2 linked regions of the Oreochromis niloticus genome follow. The protein of the gene in region 2 interacts with the protein of the main gene of each other region in a biochemical or structural test. Links are inferred from orthologs where the notes say so. Each region holds a gene or a part of one and is shown on either strand. Other genes may lie near its edges. The genes, in order: shha and ptch1.

Region 1 (11,128 bases), on a different chromosome or scaffold from region 2:
CCAGCCCTCGGTGACCCGCAGCTTCACTCCGGGCCACTGGTTCATCACGGAGATGGCTAGTGAGTTCAGCTTGTCTTTACATCTCTGTGGGAACAAGAAATGAATCCATGCATCACCGGAACTGCCAGAAACAGCACCACAGTGCGCAAATATCAGCTTTTATGAAGTGAAAATCACTCAAATCACGCGTTGCACTGACACAGCTTAGCTGATGAGAGAAATAGGGGCTGATAAGCGGTCAGAGAAATAATATATTAGATCACCTAATCAGTCTTCCGACAGATTTATTACATTTCAGCAATTACCCTTTGTGCCAGAAGAACTGTGTGCTTTATCATCATTTCCACCTCAGATTCCTCATCTTTGGTTCATTTTCTGCGAAGAACATATAAAGCATCACACTGTAGCCCCCACAGTCATGTGGTCATAGAACTGTGGACGTGATAGTGTCCCTTCACTCTCTCCTCCTCGTCCTGCATGACTTGCTGTTGCTGTGCGCGCTTGTTTTTTCTTTCTTTCTGTCTGTCTGCTCCTGCTATTTCCGCACAAAGTTCCAACTTTGTTAAACCTGCACCTGTCTGCTCCCTCATCCCTGCACATTATACCCATTGCCCCAACTACAAATCGAGGAGGAGCACAACTAATAAACAGCTTTGCTAGGGAGGCTCCTTATCGATCAATATCCATGATTTTAGACGAGAAAGAGAGGATTTGGAACACGATGAGATTTCAGTACATGAGGACTTTTGCCTTTATTGGGAGGACAGTGCAGACAGGAGGGTGAAGAGAAGCTCATCAGCAGACAGCAAGGTGGAGAAAAAGTGAAACTAAATGGCCTTCTCGTCCAACGAATGAAGCACCCCACGTGTCTGCCAACGTGGTCCAGCCAGGACCAACACACGTGGCCCTGGCTGGACTTTTCATCACCGATCAGGAGACATTCCCCGATCTATTCTAGATCCAGTAGCAACAAAAAGAAGAGGTGGAATGTTTGTGGGCAAGAAACACATGTGCACACACAGCAAAAGTGCCCCCCATGTGTTGTGTAGACGTTAATGCAAACAGGCTATTTGTTTAACGAGGTGAGTTACATAGCCTCATATGATTCACAACGTTTTTATATTTAGATATTTATTATATTTTCTCACAAAAACGAGCAGCGCTTTAGTTCATAAATACGCTCTGACGGAGGTAAATTCCACATATTGACCATATGTGTGGATCTTATTGCTTAGAACTGAGAAAAGTAAACATCTATTAAACCAGATCCGCCAATGTTGCCCGAGCAACAAAAGCATGAACACCACACAAGGGTTAATATCAATTAAAGATTAAAACTGGACCAACTGAGGCCTCTCGCACAACTCCATCCCCCCACCCACCTGACTCCCCTGTTTCCTCCCAGCTGAGGTGAAACACTGGAGCTGAACTGCGTCTCTGATCCTGAGCTTGCATTTCTCAGTGTTAGCAGCAGCGTCAGAGGGCACATCTCGGGTAAGAAAGCTGCTAATGAAATATTGATAAGGCACTGCATTCGCTTCACTGGCCTATAACATATGGGTCTTTGGTCTTGGAGAGGTGCGAGCAGCGACCCTTTTCTATCCAGAAGTGTTGCATTAAAAACAACATTAATACAGTATGAATTCACGAGTCTGCATTAGGCGATGAATGAGGGAGTCTTTTGTCGGTTGCTTGTTTTCTTTAAATTAATAATTGATGTGCAGATGATATGAAGATGATCTTCAAGAGCAGCTGCCTCCTTAAAATATCTGGAGTTGGTTGAACCCTAAGCTCTCCGCGCTCTAAATGAAGATGCTTGGCCTTCTCCAAGACAACTATTCTGGACGCCGAACCAATATGTCAAATAAAACATCACAAAGAGTCTTTTCAGTCCAGCGGCGGAGGGAAACTTTCATTACTCTTCTCCTGCAAAGTCTTGGAAACGTGACATGCCTTCTTAAGTCGAGGTGTTTTGGCTGCTGACTAACAGACTTGTGAAATATCCGAGGATTGCACTGGGGGCAAAGAAGAGCCCACTGCCCCCCCCCACCCCACGGTTGGGACAGTCTGAGGTCTTCAATCGGGGGTTGTTCACATAAATCTACCCGCTCGCATAACAGAAAACAAAGTCATATATATCAGTCGCTGTTTTATGAGGATATCACACTTGTAGAATGTGTTGAATTAAAAAAAACCAAACCTCTCCTTAAAAAACCCTTCTGCATACTGAGAGAGATTTTCGGAGTCAAGAGCCGTAAAGCTTAACCTATTTATTAATTCATTAGGTCGTGTGCCGCAAATCAAGCCAAATTCTGCTCAGCCACCATGAAGCCCAGCAGGGCGCCTTGGACCGGCGCTTTGTGCTCGGGGTAAAGTTGTTCAACAGCCTGCCTCTTAATCTTTTCACAAATGATTTGGTTAGAGGAAACACTTATCAGCTACCTGTCAGTGCAAACAAGCCGCCAGCTCATCTCGTTTCCAACTCGTTTGCACTGCAGGCTCTTAACACTGTTACGCTTAGAAAAATAGATGAAAACGCCGTTTAGTCTGGCACTGGATCTAACGTAAAAAAGTAACCCATGACATTGTGGCTTACAGTTTCACTTGTTTAAAGAGGGCAAATCAAAGTTGTTGTTGTTTAATTTTAAGTCATTTTATTGCCTTAAAAATTCCTTTGGAGTCTTATTTTGTCCCACTTTTATGCGTAGAATGTCACTTAACACAAGTTGAATTCACGAGGGTCAGAGACAGGTGAGCATAAGTCTAAAAGCCGTAGAATAGCGGGCGAAAGTGATGCTGCTAATCAAGTCAGGCCCCGTCACTTCGTGTATCAATTCGTAAATGTCTCTAAAGCCTATTTGTTGGCAGCTCTCTGGGAGTGCGCTGTGTCAAACTAGTTAGAAGTGCTTGTTCAAGCGCTTCTTCCAGTATATAATCTTGGCAAGACCGCACTGAACTGATTGACTGATTAATTCATTTATTGCACATATCTAACGGGGCTACTCTAGACACGTGTCTTGTTTCATTTATGAATACAACACCTATTTTCTAAACCGCGAGATAACGAGAGAAGTTCAAGGCATTCATGCGTAAAACTCCGTGCGTAAAAACCCTCTGGATTCATGCATAAAGCCTTGGCACGGCGTAAATCCCCATGTGATAATGCTTATGTTGCTTGCAGCTACACTTACTCTCCTTTGGGTGCACATGCTTCAATCTGGTGGCTTTACAGTGTCATATATAAAAAGGATAATCACACCTGTTTTAACTTACTGTGGCCTCCCGCTGACCAAAGGTTCTAAGTTCAAACTGTGTGTTTTCACACTTAGAGTCGGTCGCCGTGTTTTCTGTAAACAGTCAAGTGGGAAATGGATCACGAACAAACCCAAATAAATCCGACAAACAAAAAGAAACCCCCAACAGGCCACGCTGCACAAGCGTATGGTGCCACATGTAATCACAATTTATCAGATCTTCCACCTCCCACCTTTGTTCGTTTTGATGCTGACCTGCAAAAGCAAATCCTTATAGGCATGCGGGTCTTTTCACTCAGAGTAAAAGCTTGGATTAAGACAGGTGCTTCTTTAGTTCAGAGATTCTCGAAATAATGGTTAAATTAAACTATGTTCCTGCTAGAGACCTGGAAACCCCCCCCCCACCCCACCCCCGGAGAATCCGTTTAGGTCTCTAACCCCCCGCCTTGGTAATCACATCCTCAGACTACTGTAATTTCACGATCCCTGCGTATGAGAACCTATAGGTGTATAGCAGAGGAGATGTGGGGAGGGCTGAGCGACGCACGCACTGTGAATATTTTATTGGAGCTCGCCCTCATGCGTGGTGCTAGGCACGGGTTCAGGGACACCGGCGCGCGCCTGGCTTCATCACCACCAGCAGCACCACCATCACCATCTTCATTTTATTATTACTGAGCCAATATCACCCAAGAGCTTTTTAATAATTCACCAGCATCTAAGTGCTAAAAGTCATGCTGAAGAGACGCGACATCCTGCAGCCTGGAGAGAAATCAAGGCATGTCTCCGATGTATGTGAGCCTCTTCTTAGCTGCACTGAACCGGGTATAAGGTTTTAAACTGACTGGCTGCAAGAGGATGAGATATTTAAAACAGACGCCATCCTTCGTGCAGGTGTATTGTAAAACACACCAGCACTCCTGTGCGCCTTGCTCGTGTAATTGGCCGAGTCCCACCCATTTACCAAGGCCTGGACACTCTCAAAGAAATGTCAGTTTTCATGCACAGATGCACGCCACGCGAAAGGCTAAATTACAGAAGGCTGTGCAAGGAAACGTCTGAATGAGCTACGCCATGCCTCAGTAAGCCCGGCTGTTTAACGCGATGCGCATCCCCAGGGCTGGGGTAAAGAAAAGGCGCTTAAACAAGCCGCAACGTAAAGCCGAAATAGGCAGAAAACACAGAAAGTCTGCATGAAATCTAACATGGACGTGCCCCTGTAAGGCAACAAAACGAGCCTCCCATAGATACAAATATAGATATGAGGAGAGGGGCACATTAATATTTTAAATACACTGTCACAATCATGAAAGCCGAGTGTCCTGACTGTCCGCCTGCACATCACTTATCCAGCTGGATTTCTATATTCGCTTCAAGCCTGCAGCCTTTGAAAACTCCCATGCTGGTGTATAAAGCGCATCTGCCTTTGCAGTGAAGTTAAAAGGCTCAGTGTGAAGAGTTCAGCAGCGGGTAAAACAGACTTCACTTAAGGTGCGCAATCAGTCTGACAAGGAGGTTGTTGCAGTACGCAGTGATGGTGCGTTAGGAAATGGACAGTGGGGGCAAAAAAATAAAAATCACAATAAAATTAAAAGAAAAGGTTATTCCGTCTCCTTACCTGAGTCATTAGCCTGTCAGCACCGGTGTTCTCCTCATCCTTGAATATGATGTCTGTGTTATAATTGGGAGTCAGTTCTTTAAATCGCTCGGAGTTTCTTGTGATCTTGCCTTCGTATTTGCCGCTTGCCCCGAGGGTCTTCTCCGCGACGTTGGGGATGAACTGCTTGTACGCAAGAGGTGTCAGCTTCTTCGGATGTCTTCTTCTGCCGTACCCCCTGCCCGGTCCGCATCCCATCCCAGAGGATACCAAGGACAAGCAGATGAGACCGACCAACGCGATTTTGGTCCAGAGCAGCATTTTTTTTTTTTTTAATTTTTTTTGTCCTTTAAGATCTCAAACGGGTCACCGCTGCTATCTCTACAGTCTGCCTCTCCCGGCTCTCGCAGTGTCCTTGTCTCCTCTTCTACTTCGCCTTAGCTTGGTCTCTGTGTGGCAGGTGCGGAAATGAACGCCTCGGATAAATGGTAATAACGGGGCAAATCGAAGGAGGGTTTAAAAAAAAGTAGTGAGGGAATTAAAAGCCACGGGATCTCTAGTCGAGCTGCTGCCGCTTGTGTGTGTGCCTACCGCTTTTACTGCTTTGTATTATAGCACCGATCTATAGGGGAGGGACTTCATTGGCGTCGACTACCCCTCCTGATGTTATCCCACAAAAATCTTAAAAGATTTCTTCCACCTGAGGGTTAGCCTCTGTTTCGAGGAGGAGGGGCTGCTCCATGGGAAAACATCAATTATAAACTGTCTTTTTTCCACCCTCCCGTTTTCCAGTGTTTCACAGTAAGTGAAGCACAGACAGGGGAGGCTGAACAGTGGTTCTCAAATCTGTAGCAGTGTAGTTTGGTGAATTGATTTGTGTGGGACAACTTTGAGCGCAGAATGCGTTTCCCAGGAGAATAAAACTGCTCATGGACGTGCAGTGCGCAAAGACTGCATGAGTTGGCTGTGACACCCCATATCCACCAGAATAGTATGGAATAGTTTGCTTACAGTGCAGTGAGATATGAGATTTCATTAGATTAGATTAGATTGAAATTTGCCTCTAACTTCGCGTCCCTTTAAACAACAACAGCGTGCCAACGTGAATGTACGCTGTAAGGCACTACTTAACTTATTGGTGGTTCAAAGGCACAATAAAACTGAGAAAACTTGTACTGTAATGTACTTTTTGGACTAATATTATGGCGATTTCACCAGATCTAAAAAGCAAAAGTTGGAGTAACATCAGTGCCTTCTGCGCGCTCTTGTTTCCTACTTTAGTTTATGCGTAAAAATGCATTTTATTCTCCAAAATATCATTCCATGTGACCATTTTTCCACACATTCATCATATTTTCACGCAGGTTTCTGGAACTCAGATTCAGAAAATGAAGCAGAGTCCTTAAAAATGAGGGTGGGAACGGGACAGACTTACAGCACAATAGTAGACGAGGCTTTAGAAAGCGTTTTAAAAAAAAGATAACCAAAAGCCACTTTTTATGGGGAAGAACCTATTTAGTGCGTAAAATATACTGATAGTGGGTAGCAACAATATTCACTCCTACACAGTCAAAACCTACTTTACTGACAGATTCATAGTATTGAAAAACTAACTTTCCGAAAGGAAAGAAATTATGACTTTTCTCGAGTATTAAAATAGATTTTATTTCAATCACCAACTCAACATTCTCATAGTCTCATTCCTATAATTAAAGGCCAATGAAGAAATATTTTACTGTTGTTGATTAAGGCTGTATGGTACCATGAGACACCACTGTATTCAAATTCAAGGTCCAGACAAAACAGATATCTAAAATATTTCAGGGAGGAAAATTATTTGTGTGATAACAACGAGTAATTACAGGAAGACGGGCTGTTCTGAGGCAACTTTGGCTCTCATCACACAGACACTGTGGCACAGGTGCTCTGAAGTGAGGACAGATACGCCAGTCTTTGGTGTGGCTTCTCTCTCATTAGACCTCACTCTGGCTGACCTCCAGTCTGGTGTTGTTTAGTCAGTGCCAGGCTTGTGGCAAAGCAGCTAGGGCAGGTGAGACCAACTGCTGCTCACTGAGACCACGATCATCAGCTCTTAGCCAAAAGACGGTTGGCACACTGCTGTATAACCCAGAGACTCCGCTACCAGCTTTCAGTCTGCAAATCACTACCGTCACTCTGTTTTTGCCGCATATGATTGAGATTCTTAAGATGTCTTCCTTAGTCACATTTCAGCGCCGACGTCTGCAGATGTATTCAAACACAAAGCTGACAGCACTTGTGGTGCCCTGAGGGACACCAGAGGCACTGTTTAGCCCCAGGTCAGGTGTCACAGCTCTGGGATAAAACCTGGCATGCCACACAAATGCCTCAAACCCACAGGGAGGTGAAGCAGAGGTAGAAAGAGTCCTCAGAGGTCTCAGTCCTCCTGAAAAAGAGTAATAATACTTATATTAATGCTCACACTAACACAATTATTAAAGCAACAACTTATAAACTAACAAAAGAAAGAAAAGATGCTGAATGAAAATGAATTATGCTTTCTAAAAACCAAGGTTTGCTGGTGGGATTGAACTTGAGTTTCTACCGCAGAGGAAACCAAGCATCTCTCAGTCAGACCTGGGGCAAATAGTATTTGCAAACATTACACTTCATTGTTTGGTTTTGGCCTAATTCGGTGCCAGATGGGTGGAGTTTGCAACTAAAAGCAAAGTAAATCACTGCACACAGTTTAGACAATTAAAGTATCTGCATCTATTTGGCGTGTGAACTTTTATTTGAGCATTTGCCTTGATCAGACGTCTTAAAACAAACACCTTCTAAGATCCCAGATTTGTGCCATTATGTCACACTATGTTACTCTTTTATTTACAGTGGATTTGCATATGAGGGTGATGCAGAAAAGCGAAGGCTAGCTCTCTGAAATAATTCTGGAGGGATTGAGGGCATTACACAATTATTAAGAAGCCTGTTGCATGTGATGGCTAATCCAGTATGAGGCGTGAAAAACGGCCAATGAGTCATCAGTTTCTGGCTCATGGTGTGTCCCATCTAACACTTTACCCTCCAAAATGTGCAGACGCACATATGGAACCCTCTACCTGATCCATCGCATCGTCCTCATCTGCTGCGCTGCGCTGCCTTTCTTTAGAAGGCTCCCTCTTGTGTCTGACATTCAAAGGAATCAAAAAGATGTGCTTAGAATCAGACTAAATCCACACCCACATTTGATTTCATCTGCCACCGTCTCGATCAAGCACAAGCGAGATGCAACTAGAAGTGGTTGAGTGGAGTTTAACCAGTGTAAGTCCCCCCAATTACTGCTTTAAAGCCTCCTCCTGTCTGAATGTTTTGTAACATTGTTAGACGGATTAGGACTAGAGAATAATCACGCACAAACATATAAGCAGTGTCAGGCTTTCTGTGTTGTTTTCCGTTGCTGCAAATAGGGTTTCCTTTCTCCCAGGCTAACAGAAAGACAGGCCCACCGCAACTCTTTGTGGTTTTTCCTCGCAGGTGGAGTCCGCATTCAACCCTTTATCCTGTTTTGAACTTTTGGCAAACAGTTTATAGCACGGACACGTTGCCATCTATCCTATGAGCATGTGTACTCTTTTGTTAGAGCCACAAAGTTTGAATAATCTTCCTCTAAATGGTTTATCTAAGCCGCACGCATCAAGCATTAAGCAGAGGTAAAGAGTCAGAATTCGGCTGAACAGAATCAGGTGACCTGGAGCTAATCTGTCAAGTACAATGGAAATTTCACAATACAGTATCTAGAATCACAACCCTCAGCGTGCCCCGGAGTCTGTAAAGGCATTTTATTTGCACTCTCCTGCCGCTCCCAATACTTAAACATTAAACGCCAAGGCTAGACAGGCAGAACCTCTTTGAACTGCAGGGCAGGGTGAACTCAGTGGGAGGGGAAGGAGTTGAGTGAGTGGAAAGCGGGGGGCTGGTGTTTGTGTGTTATTCCACCAGGTGAGTCAGCGCTGGCCATCGTGCACTGCAACACCATCTCGGTCTTAAGCAACGGTGATAACAGAGGGAACGGCTCAGAGGACTGACATGTGTCTGTTTACTTTAATGCATAACCGTACTGAGACTTTCTGATGAGCCACTGCGAAGAATTTACATCGAAACAAGCTGCTTTGTTTGTGGAAGCTTAGCTGTGTCTTTAACGTCCTAAAGAAAAGTGATACACGGCCGATATTACTTCACTTCTTCTCCAAACCGGTTTCAATGTCATGACAGCAGGCGGCTGATTTCTTCCATTCTACAGAAAATATCTGAGTTTACACTTTAAGGGGTACAAATGTTCTAAAAAGAATAAAAGAGGGGAAACCAAGCAGACTCATGGAAAGCTACTTTCAGCTGGGGACACCACAACAGGTAGCGCCCCATGTTTGCCTTGGCAGAGTTTTATCTCTGCAGCAACCTCTAGACTTTCTAGACTAATGTAAATGTTTCTTTGGTGATAAAACATCTAAACAGCTAATACACGAACAAAAGCCTCACAATGTTTACGATCTGAACATCTCTATTTTCCTGAAATCAGTTCTTCCTCACGTAAATGAGTTCATATACAAACATTCAAGTGGCTCAGTGTGTTTCCAGAAACTGACCTGCGTTCACTTCACCAGTGAGTCCAATGAACCTGTGTCCTACATTAATATTATAAGGTCACTACCTCTTATATAAAGTGCCTCGAGACAAAGGTTACTGACTAATAACTGGGGCTATATAAATAAAATTCAACAGATCTAAAGAAAAAAAAATAGACTCAAACAATCTTTGCTTTCAAAGAGTACTTATGTGTCTGTATTATGTCCAGTTTCGCTCAGGCTGTATGCCAAGGCACTGACACCAAAGGACACCTTGTGCACAACTGAGACACCAGCAGCATTTAATGGGATGTGGCAAACGCATAGATGAAAGAGCATCTACTTGCTTTTCAAAAGACGAGGAGGAGCAAACAATGTGCAAAGCTCCAGTTTTGTTCTGAAGAAGACTTTTAAAATTTCAAACATTATCTAAGTGAATAAGGGTCTGTGGGGTTTTTGTATCTATCTAGCGTTTCTCCTCAGGGGAGAAAGGTTTGGTCTATTTTGTGACAAATAGATGTGAGACTGGTCACTTCCTGTGCAAAAACCTCTGCCTGTGGACACAGACCCTAAATCACAGCAAATTAGACAATAAAAAGACGAGAATACTGCATGATACAAGTTGGATGAAGAGGAAGCGTGAAGTGAGAGGCTGTATGCGCGTGTGTGTTCTTGATACCTCTCTCCATGTACCAGTGTGAGAAAATCCTGACTGCAGCCTCCAGTCTGCATGTTCAGTCAGATTATATTTGGGCTTTGGTGAAAATAAGCCAAACCTTTTTCTCTGGAATTTCAGAGTTGATCACCTCATACAGGAACTTCGGCAGTCTGGATGAATGTGTCACTGCTCTGTTCCTCCATCTCAGCCTCTGAGTCTGCTTAGTATTGATTCAGAGGAAAACTCTCAGCTGCAGAAGAAATGACATGAATAAAACTGCAAAGTTAAATATATTTTATTTATTTGTCATAGCAATGACAAAGCGGTTCCAGTTAAGCTAAGCTAAGCTAACCACCTCAGACCCTGGGTTCATATTCGGAGACACAAATTGTGACATGGGAGCAGCCAAACCCTTAAGTGTACCACATACAGATGCAGAATTTCTGAGAATACTGGAAAATACACATACATATATAGAAAATACACAATAAAGACTTATCTTTTTCAGAGTGAATGGTTGATTTAACTTCTTTTTAATAAATGTTTCAATAAAAATGAGCAGAAATAAAAGGTACGAATCAACAAGCTGAGCCTGAAAATGCTGGTTTCTGCACATTAAGTTGGAGGACTCATTGCAAAGAACCGGCAACCTTTTTGCTGCAGAAGTTGAAATATTGTGATCTTTCTTAGCATGAGTCACACTCCAAAAACACACTGCATGCAGACCTTCCCATACTGCAACTCTGTAGCATCTTTTGTTCTCACCGCTTGCCTGTCTGCCTGCTTTTTATTCAGTGTTTAGACTCAAAGTTTTAAAAAAAACCAAACCCTAAACCAACGATAACTCCGATGGCCTTTCTTCTTTTACTTTAGAAAGTCAAAAACGTTACTGTTGTCATGGATTAGGAAGCAGTTTGATGACAAGTGAACTGAAATTTATAGGTGCCTTTTTAAAAGAAGTTGGAAAAAATGATGCCAGTAGGGTCATTTTTTTATCTTATCTTTTTCAGTTTTAAGA
Region 2 (11,140 bases):
CTCTTCACCCCTGGCTTCAACTTCAACCCTTGCCCAGAGCTCAAGCTTCAAAAGCCCCAATTTCCAAACCGTCCACTCCCTGCGTCTCCTCTTCCCAATCAGCACAGCTCCATAATCTCCAGCCCTTGTCTCAGCAAAGAAATGGAGCAAAAGAGAGAGGGGCTGTCCTACAGGAAGGCCAATGTTTATGTGATACTGTTTTAATTAGGGGCAGGCAGCGTTCCTATTTTCTTTACAATTTGGCCTGTGTTTGCCATAACCTAGAATGCCAAGGGATGGCTCCATTTTCCATTTGCAGCCAGGAGGAACCCTAAAGGACTCTCATTCCTCGCTCGTCTATGTCTTCTCCCTGAATGTGGCTTATTGTTAATCACTGCAAGATCATCTAGATGATCTTCAGGTTTAAGCTGAGGATGCATCTGAGGTCGCAAGCCAGTGAGCATGTTTTCCAACACTAAGGAAAGCACACAGAGAGCTTCAGACCACAATTGTGTGTGGGGAGACAGTACACCACAATACTACAGCTTCCTGTTTGAACTAATCATTTCCTGTGAGTGGATATAAACACAGAGCTTGTCTGTAGTGCGGATACAATCTGCCCTAAATAGAAGCCACGGTCACTTTGATGTTTTCTAAGTGGGAAAAACAAGACTGAAAATCTTACTATCTTGCCCCGATTGTTAAGTAAAGCACAAACTTCCATGCATCCTCAGAGGTCTGACACCACTGCGTCTTTGTGCAGGCATGCATCTCGCTCCCAATTGGTCTCTGTCACTTTGTCTAATAAACAGAACTTCCTGTGTCAGAGTATTTATAAACAGTGCTGAGTGAGCACTGTGTGAGAAAAGACAATCCCTGCAAAAGCTGTGGCACGTGACCTACAAGCTAACCGCAGCAGAGACTTAACGGTGGTCTGCCGGAGACCTCAGCTGCTCTGGAGCTATCAGAAAGCAGGTGACGACTGACACGACATGGGATCGCAAACGTGAACGTTGCTCCGGTCCACACTGGAGGAGCTGAGAGATCTGATGGGAGCTGGGCTGTATTGTATGCGCGCACGCATCCACAGGCCACACAGCTTCCATGTGGGGTCGTCCATGGGTCGCCTGCGGAGGGGCAGTTCCAACCAAATGAAACATAAACAGGCACTCTGTCCTCTCCTCTTTTTCCTCTCGGACGATGGGCCAGTCCCCCAGCACGGCCCAGCACAGCGTTCCACGGTCCAGGCAGAACTAATCTATCCCTCAGCTGTGCAGTCTAATCTAAACAAACAGATCTCTCCCTACCAGCATCTGGAACCCCTCACTTATCGGGATGTAGAAAACCACAGCAGCCCTGTCTTGTAGTCAGAGCCTGTGTACGAGCAGGGGTTTGCATCTTGGTGTGAGCCAGTATGAGACCATTTTGTAGATGTCTACCAGAGGTCACTACACTACTTGTGTGTCAGCCAAGGTCAGGTTCAGTTCTGTCAACACCAAAATTTATTGGTGGAACAAAACAAAAGTGCACAGTCACTCTGGGTTTGAGTATCCTGAATTTGATGCAACACCAGCAGCGCTAAACTTGCAACAGGATCAGCTGAAACATCTGAAACTGCTGATAAATCACAAGTTACCAGACCTTGCAAAGACAAAAAGGTGCTAATAATAATGGGAAACTGAGAAAATCTACAAATTCTCAAATTTGAGAAGCTACAAGAAGACCGTTTACCTACTGAATAAATAACTCTGAAGTTATAGCTTTTAGTAATTTTAACCTCAGTACTCTGGAGAGGCTGAAATAAGTCTACAGTTTGCACTTGCAATGCATCTTGAAGCCAAAAGGCTTCATTGCTGTATTTTTGAGTATGCTTTAAATAAAAGGTTTGCCAAAATGTTGCTAAACCCAGTTCTTTGAGAAGGGCAGCAGTATGAGATGGAAGAGTAAAGCTCATAAGTTACAACAGGCCAAAGTGATGCTCTTAGTATTTTTTAGTAATTTTTGTTAAAAGCCCACACAGCGTGTAAAATTAAAGGAGCAGGCAAGCAGGTAAACAGGCAACAAAACAGTGACAGGTCCCTGCAAATGTTTGATTTATTTATTTTTTTTACATAAAATACAAGAAGTTATGAATATATTACTAATTCATTTCAGCACTTGCATGTAAGAGTAAAGGATGCACTGTGAAGTGTGCAATAATATTCAGTTCCAAAAGGTCCCGGTCACTTTAGTATACATGACCGTGGTCAGACATGTGAAAGGGTGTGAAAACAGTGCGATCCTCTGAGTATAATCAGGATTCCTATCCCAAAGAGGCTCCCCTCTGCCTAAACTGTTGCCAACTGCGCCTGCGCCGCAGATTAGAAGAACACGCTGTCTGTCAGACCCCTGCAGCTGCACGCAAGGGGAGAACAGCCAACCCCGGGCAGGAGGTGTGGTGTTTGATCTGTACAGGAATCAGTCTGCTTTAGTGCTTGATCTTGTTAACTTTTTTTTTTAAACCTGAGACAAAGTGGTTTTAAAAAAGTTAAAAAGGCAACCGCACAAGCACACGCTTAAAAAATGCATTCATTTTTATAACCAAACAGTACTCCACTTCAATTTCTCAACAAGTCTGCTCCTCCATTCATGACTCCTACAGCCAACTCTACCCATAAGCGCAGGAATGTGGATCAAAGGAAAGGAAAAAAAGCTCAGCCCCTTCCCCTTAAACCCCCCCACAAGCACCACCCATATGCACAGTTTCTTTCTTCCTTATATATTTTCACTCTTCAAAAGTTGTTTAGGAATTTCAAAAACAAGGAAAACTAACAAGTGTTCCATCCACCCCACAAACACGAGTTCCTGCCCTCACTCCGCTTTTTCCCTGCAGCCGGAGACAAATCTTTTTGGAAAGTTGAGAGCTGTCCAAAACGGGACCACACACAGTCAACTGCTGGGGGCAGGCAGGCAGACACACACTCACACACACACACACTCACACACATCTCACAAAATGGCGGCTTTCACAAAAATTTCCTCTACCCCGAAAGCCCCTTATGAACTTAATTACAACTTTTTATGAGCATAGTTACACTCAGCCCTTGCACATCTTATGTGTGCATCTAGAACGGTTTTAGAAGCTAAGTGTGTTGGGAATAGGCAAGTATTTTCAAGTTTTGCTTGGGTGCTTGCCAGCACCTATACAATAAACAGTCCCCTTACCTACTTCATTTAGTAGCACCAACAAACCTTCTTCCTCCAAACTAAACTGTGTCAAATTCTTGGAAACATGCAATATGAAGTGAAACAGTTTCAAAAGCACTGAAATAAAGAAAAGTCCTAGGAGGTCACACTTAAAAACATCATGAATTGCACAGCTTGTCAAAAAACAAAATAATCAAGAGCCTCTTACCTTCCACCCAGAGTTTCTCCACATCCGTTTCCAAATTAGCTGCCCGTAAGCCCACAGCAAAAGCTCCAAAAATCATGAGGCCAACAACCAAAAACTTTCCGCAGTTCTTTTGAATGTAACAGCCCAGCCTAAATAAAAGTCTCTGGAACTTCGCTCTCAGCCACAGAGGTGCTTTCCTCCCAGTTGCCTTCCCCTATGATAAGACAAGAGTCCCAGAGTTACTGTCAGTCAACAGACAAAGCACCGCACTTACCTGCTCAGGTGATGCTGTAGGGTTAAAGACAAAAGATTTTATGGTATTCATGCAAATAAGCTACAACAATAAATGTGTCCACTTAAAAGAACCTTTACAGTTTTAAAGTACAAGCCTCTCTTTGATCAAAGAATCCCACCTGCTCTCCTTTCAGTAAGACTGCACATTTACCTACAACCGGGGATCTAAAGTCAGAGAGCTGGGATCTTCCAACACATCCACTAAATCCCTCTGCTAACCTTTATTCACTGAAAAACCACAAATCTGCTGGGGATCCTGGGTACTGCTGAGGACTCCCCAGAGTGCGAGCTACAGGTCCTGTCAGATCAGAATCCTTAGCATAATACATGCTAAGGAAAGATACCACCATTCCCTGGCATTTCACAGCCACAATAACCAGTTATGAATACAAATAATATTTTAAAAATAGTCCAAAATAAGTACATCTGGACCTCCAGAGTAGACACAGGTAAACAGGACTGTAACTGTCAAACCACAACTAGACTAAGCAGGCTCCCTTGTGTCTTTGTTCTACTCTTTATGTAAAATGGTCATTGGAAGCACAATACTGCGGTTAGTAGCAGACTATAAGTCTTAAAAGACAGAATAAAATAAAATACTGAATGCACTGTAGACCACATGCTCCCCACTTGACAGAAACTATTACATTTTGAGGGGTAGTGTAATTGCTACTGAAGTAACCTGCACGCACACATCGCCCGGTGATATTAAATACCCTGAATCGGCGCATGTGGTAAAACCACAAATACCACCACCACGCACTCACACGCGCTCTCCCCGTCCGGCCGCTCGTGTGTTCCGGCCTGCACGGGGAAGTGAAGGAGCTATCACGGGGAGGAATCACAATATTTGTGAACGGAAGAGGGCAGCCACATGGATTCTTTTACTTTCCTCCTCTTTACACGAGTCACCCAAGTTTAGACAGTGTCACCCAAACTCTTTAAAGCTTTGGGTGCTCCGCGTAAAAGAAAGGCTGGATGTTATGAAACGGTCAATGGCAGCGTTGCCTGCGAGAGTAAAAGCTGCATGTTTTTTGCCTGGTGCGGGACCGCTCTAGGTTGGGGATGCACTGGAAACAATCGCGTGTTTGTACTGGGGAAACGGGCACCTAGAACTTGCAGCACATCCTTCATCATAAGCCGGTTGCATCGGAAGAGTCGCGTGAAATCAAACACAACTACTTTGCGCTTTTCTGCAACCTTGCCTCACCGCTGTGTACCCCGTGCCCAGCCCGTCCCGTTACCTAGCAGCGACTGGACAGTTTGGCCACTTTTTTTTCTTTTCGACGAATACAATGAAAGCAGCATCACAAAGCCTTTTCCCGTTCAAGATGAGAAATAAGCACCTCTGAAATTTGCTCCAGAGCAAAGCCCGCATCGCAGTAACTCGGCCGCTGCAAATACTCCAAATCCAGCGGTGTGTTGCGGGTATAGTCCCCCCTGTTCCTCCGCGTTATCCTCGGCCGATCGGGGTCTCTGTTTTCCTGCTCGGAGGGCGCATTACCAGCCGAGGCCATGTTGCGGGGACAGCGATATGGTTTCCCACTTTATAGTATTTCCCCGAAAGCGTGTAGCGATATCCCAAGAGAACAGAGTTTCACTCTCGGAGATCTCACACCCGTGAAGTAGGGCTTCATACTCCTGTTGGAGACGGCGAGTCAAAGTCTGCGCCTTCCATCCCAACATTTCGTGATCCGGAGGTCTCCACCGCTTTCACCGCATTCACCGTGTCTCTTAAAAAAGTAAGTTTCTCTCAAAAAGCGAGCTTCGCGAAGTGATTTCCATACACAAGTTGTCGGGTATGAAACCTCGATAGTCGTAGCATTCTGGTGACATCTATGTGGTCTTCCCCTGGGCCGCGCGTCACGGCCAACTCTGAGATTCAATAGAAATGAAGAAAAAGACCTCTCTCCATTTGGAGGCAGAGAAAGAGGAGGGGTGAGTAGAGGAAAAAAATACTCGAGATCCCGCCTCTGGGGCTGTCAGATTGCAGGAGTTTCTTGCATCTGATTGGTTCCAGAAGGGCAGAAATTACTCAGCAAACACGACTATTATTAGCTGCTTAGCAACAGCTCACTAAAGTAGAGAGACCACCCAGGCAGGCAGACCTCATGTGAGCATCTCCAACTTCAGGGGAGGCTCGCCGAGAGTCGAACCCATTTGGTGCATTCAGGTTTTCACGTAGAGCTCCGTTACAATAATGAAGCGTTTCCCTAAGAGGACCCGAAGTCAAAGACAAGGTATCCGTTTGTGCATCGGAGGGGGCTTTTTGGCATGTCAGAACTTTAACTATTTTTTTTTTTCCTCAGATGAGCCTCTAACTGGTTCAATGAGAGGGGGGGGCGGCTTGTAGGCTATAGTGTTGTTGCGATCTTTAGAGTCAAACACCGCCAAAAAACAGCTCATTAGTGTTTTGTACATATCAAAATACGCCACAGCCTCAGGACCACAGCTCTCTACAAAGCAAAACAAAAACCCTTTGATAAAACGTCTAAATGGAAAAAATATTACCTATAGAGAACTGCGATGTGTTTATGCGCAATCACGCATACAAATGCCAAATTATCTCCCCTTTAGTCTAGTGATCCCACAGGGTAATATCACAGTATTATGGTTATTTAGCTGAAAAAAAAAAAAATCACATTTCATATAGATGCAGATATACACAAGAACTATTTGTGCATTTACATCTTGCTGCACAATAAGCAAGCGGATTTTAGGATTTCATTATAATCTGATGTCCTTAAGCTCCTAACACCTGGTTGCCAAAGGAGGTAGCATTTATCCGTGAGGCAGGCATCATTTTTATAACTGACTTTATTCTGATAGAACTTTTTTCATAAAATAAAGATAAAAACAAATTCATTCAAATAAACAGACTTCGGGTCAAAATAATAAGGTTATAATAAACAAAACAATTAACTCCAGCAGCCACTCTTGGCTCGCCAGAGCATCAGGTGTATTTCACACCTAAGCCATCTAAGCTGACTCTGGGCATGTGGCTGCCAGCCGAGCACTTACCATCATCTGTCCTGGTGGGGAGAACATTCAGAACAAATCCGTGATTTCCCGCTCCTCGGAGAGCGAAACGAGTCAGTTATAATAAAGATAAAAAGGAATGATTAAGTGTTGTGAGGAGAGAAAGAGATGCATCGTAATCTGTCTTGGTCACAGTCAGAATGCTCAGAAAAAAGTTCACCCAATTATAAGACTGTGCCTTTTTTGGCCACGTTGGTGGTCTCCTTAGCTTCATAGGCAGGACCCTTTGATTGTCACGTGATTAGCCCGAAGTCGTAAACTGTGCCAATCACGCAGCAGCAGCTTCCAGTATTTCAGGCTGTGGTAATTGAAGGAAAAGAAAGAAAAAGAGCGCACAACGCACACCTGTGCACTCTGACATCAAAGAAGTGAATGCAATGCAATTTAGAGACGCACAGATACACGTATGTGCACATGTGCGTACTTAAGGAACAAGCATATAGGATCAAGCATACAGATCATTTCCATTGACGTATAAGGGATTGTTGATGCTGTATAATAAGGAAACCACAAACAGATTAATACAGTGACATGTCCTCAGCCACATAGTCTCAGATTATATTAACTTCTAAAGACTGATTCGTGTTACTATCAAAGTAAAGTCATTTTACTACCCTTAGTGTCCCCCTTGGAGCAAATTACTTTACATTTGGTCTGGACAGAAACTGTCACTGTAACATTTTACTGGAAATAACATAACATTCATATAAATGCTTATTTCTGATCTGTCTGTATCATAAACACTAACATTCTTCTTTGCAGTTAGTAGGAAGGTTGGTTGTGATGGAGAAAACCCACCTTAAATATATACAGTTTAACTGCCCTCAGATACTCCAGGTGTAGTATCTGAGTGAGGGAAAGCATCCAAGGGGGAACAAAGTTAGGCTGCGATGCCCCCTAATGCTCCTGAGAAGAACCAGGCCTGTGTCAGTGGAACAGGAGGAAGTAGGAGCCGCAACTGCTGCACAATATCTGTGCTATGCATGTTCAAGTTGTTGTCATGACAGTAACGCTGCAGGACTCCATAAAAGTGCCTCAGGTCATTGTGGAAAATAGCCCCCCCCCCCATTTGAATACTGTAGTTAAAAGTTGTAAAGATATGCCTGTAAAAATGCTCTCGGGAGATTATATTGCAAGCATCTGTGTGAACTAATGAAATACATATGCACAAACAACACTAAAACACCCTGGACCAAACATGAACATATATCCTTTTTTATTTATTGACATTAACATGGATGGGATGCACTAATTGTTGACTTTAGGAAGGGAGAAATGAATCCATCTTATTCTGATTTGTAAATGCAGGAAACAGTTTGGGTTTCAGATTTTGTAAGATCAACAAGTCCATTCAACTTGTAAGGTATGAAGCAACAAACAACAAAATAAAAGGTTTCAGTAGTCACCTTTTCATACTTGTCATCAAAATCAGATTACTCCCCTTTTTGTGACGGAATATGTTTAATAAATCTGTATCTAAACATCATTCGTTACATGGTGATCGACAGAGAAATAAGTTAAACTGCTCTTCTGCATCTGCTGTGACACACTCACTGTTCGAAACAATATCCTATTTTTTTTAAATATTTGTTAACTTTTTTTATGTATTACATTTAAAAAAAATTGTTTCAGAGTTAGTTTGCTTGTTTTACTCAAGTTGATTGTTCGAACTGTTTAATTTTAGGTTTTTATTATTAATATGTTAAGTTTTGTCAAGAAGACATACTTTTATTTTTATCTAGCCCTCGTTCACAGCCACATGGATTTCTTAATGGGGAAAGGAGATGAAGTATTCATTTAGGTGCTTGAGGTATTGGGCATTGATCCCAGAATGACTTCACCAACAAGTCACCTTTGGTGACCCCTGGCAGGGCCCCTCACACCCCTCAAGGCTGGTCGCTGGCCAGTGGCCATGAGAAAACGCTGAAAAACCTTGCTTAGTGCATGCGTTTATTTATGATTTGCAGGTGGATTACAGTTCCAAGCAGAACTGTGCCAAAACATTACTATCCCTGAGTCAAAACAATAGCGTCTTTTTAGCCAGGACCATTGTTATGCTTGATGCAGGGATAAACAAAGATTTCTAATCAATACTATGTCCATTACCTGGCGTTATGGACATACTTTTTTAACCAGTCTAACCACTGCATTTTTAGTCAACTCATTTTCTGTCACATTAGTAAACTGTAGCAGTATCCAACCAACCAACAGTTTAGAAAAAGTCTCGTAAATGCAGAAAGTTATACTCAATTTAGTTGAGTATTTATGAAGTGTTTGTTTTTTCCAGTCGTTATAAGACTACAGTAGGTGTAAGTCACTTACAATGAAGTGTATTGAAAAAAAAAAGACCAAAAGGGGCAACAACAACAGAAGAACAGAAAAAACTGCACCTGTTTATTGAAAACAAATGTTCCCAGTTAAGCAAGAACATCCTCTACTCTTGTTTTTCATGCTGCTTACAAAAAATAAAGAGAAAGAAAATCAATATGGATGCGTGGGAGTGAAGGTTTCTTGGTGCTTGAAAGCTTATGTGATATGTTCCATTCATGGGCAAAAGTGTTGTTTATACATCCAATTTAGCTTTAGCAGCATTGTACTGATTGTTAACAAAAACAAACAAAAAGAAAACAGGTATTGCAAAATGTGTAAATGCCCCTAACATGACTGCTTGTTTGCTTGTATGCCCTTGCACACATTGCTGTGACAATGGTAATCATATGTTGTTTTCTAGGTTTTGCCCCAAACTTCTAACCAAGTTGAATAGTTTGCTGTTGAACCATGGAAACTTTGCTTATAGGACAGCCAACACAGTGAACAATAAGACAATAACAGAGGTTTTATACAAAATCCTGGCTAGCCAAACCTTGAAAAAGAAAACAAAGCCTAAGATCAGAGCTTTGTTTCAACCATCTTTTGTAAACATAAATAAAGAGCAACATTCTGGTTTTGTTCTGACCAATATCGTAATGCCTAAAGGGGACCAGCTATGCCCTTTTCTATATCTACTCGACCTTAGAGCTGCTCATCAAATCATCCACCGTCCATTGTCAACCGGCTTTTTGCAAAATGCAAAAGAGCCCAGCCACCACTTTAATCGCAATCGCACGTATTTTTTTCTAACATAGCACAGAAACGGAATATTTAACAGTATTCCCAAAAACACTCTTTTTTCTGACTGTTTTCTTAATGACATTTACATTTACAACAATGATTTTCACAGCAGTGGGGAATAAATTTCATTACAGTAGATTTCTTTCTGAAAGTGCTGTAACTAAGTTTAAGGATATAATTATATATAATAGCCTTGAGGAAAACTATGGTTTTGATTTGGCGCTGTATAAATGAAATTGAATTGAACTGAAAGAGTTTTTGATCTGTGGTTGATTTTGTTAGTTTAGTTTTCCTAGTGTTTCTTAGAGTCTATCTTCCCTCTATCTCATCCATGTGTTTGTACAGCTGTCTTCCCAGTTCATTTTGGTAACTACTTTTTTACGTGTGCTTCTGTGTTTATTACACAGGCCTGTGCAGCAGGATAAAGTGCTGTGATACGATGGGCTGTATCACCGTGGTAACTTATACTGCAATGGTTAGGTTCTAGATTAGAGAGGAACACGTGCAAAGTCACCAGCTACTGACCAATAAATTCTCCAGAAAAACAGCATCATTACTCCTGTACAGATAGTAGCAGAGTCTAAAGTTTTTCAATAGCATCTCATGTCTTTGCATTTCCCTGATGAAAATTCTTAGATGCAACCTTGTTGTTTGATTTTTTTTCCTCCCAATTTTCTGCTAACAATCTTACAAAAATGTTATTGTTCTACAAGCATTAATATATGATCCTAAAACAGAGCTGCTATTTGTACTTGTGGACTTTATATCAAGTTTTAATTTAGTCTAAGCCCATTTTTGCACTCACACATTTATTCAGTGCTTTTAATACTGCTGTGGAGTGCCTTTCCTCTCAAAAACTCTGGTGCTTTTGTCTTTCGCTCTATTGTGTGTTTAATCTCTTCATATTTTTCTAATATTCTAGTGTTATCTTAGTTGGTAAAATCAGCTGTTCTGCTGCTACTTATGCATGTTTATGATTGGTCAGATGCTGCCAAAGTCCAAACTTTCATTCAGGGGAATGTTCAGGGTAAACCCTGATTAACTAAGCAAGATGACTGTGTTACCATTTATTCTGTTTGCCAATGTTAGGGTAAGTGAATAACTTTAACGGAAATATACCCTGGATATGTTGTACTCACTCTGTAGTAAATTGTGTTCCCTAACTAGTGCTCTCTATATGCAGTCCTGTGTTTCCATCCTGTGTTTTGTCTGTTGTGTTATCCTGCTTTACCTTTTTCTGCCTCTGTGTGCATTTTTGTGCTCCTTCTTTAGTGCCTCACTATTTCTTCAGTTTGCATTTTTGATCTTTCACCCTTTGTAATCTATGGACTTTGGTTTGGTTGT

What was found.
Region 1: the proteins of ptch1 (region 2) and shha are reported together in a solved structure, tested with the Homo sapiens proteins (5 studies listed by BioGRID and IntAct, with this or other methods). The link is inferred for Oreochromis niloticus from reciprocal best matches to the Homo sapiens genes PTCH1 and SHH.

What each region holds. Positions count from the first base shown.
Region 1 is NC_031974.2:16,770,826-16,781,953, reverse strand, and holds the start of shha (sonic hedgehog protein), read right to left. Parts: upstream 5,537-11,128; 5' UTR 5,173-5,536; coding exon 4,873-5,172; intron 85-4,872; coding exon 1-84.
Region 2 is NC_031977.2:22,908,727-22,919,866, forward strand, and holds the start of ptch1 (protein patched homolog 1), read right to left. Parts: upstream 5,575-11,140; 5' UTR 5,164-5,574; coding exon 4,993-5,163; intron 3,567-4,992; coding exon 3,374-3,566; intron 1-3,373.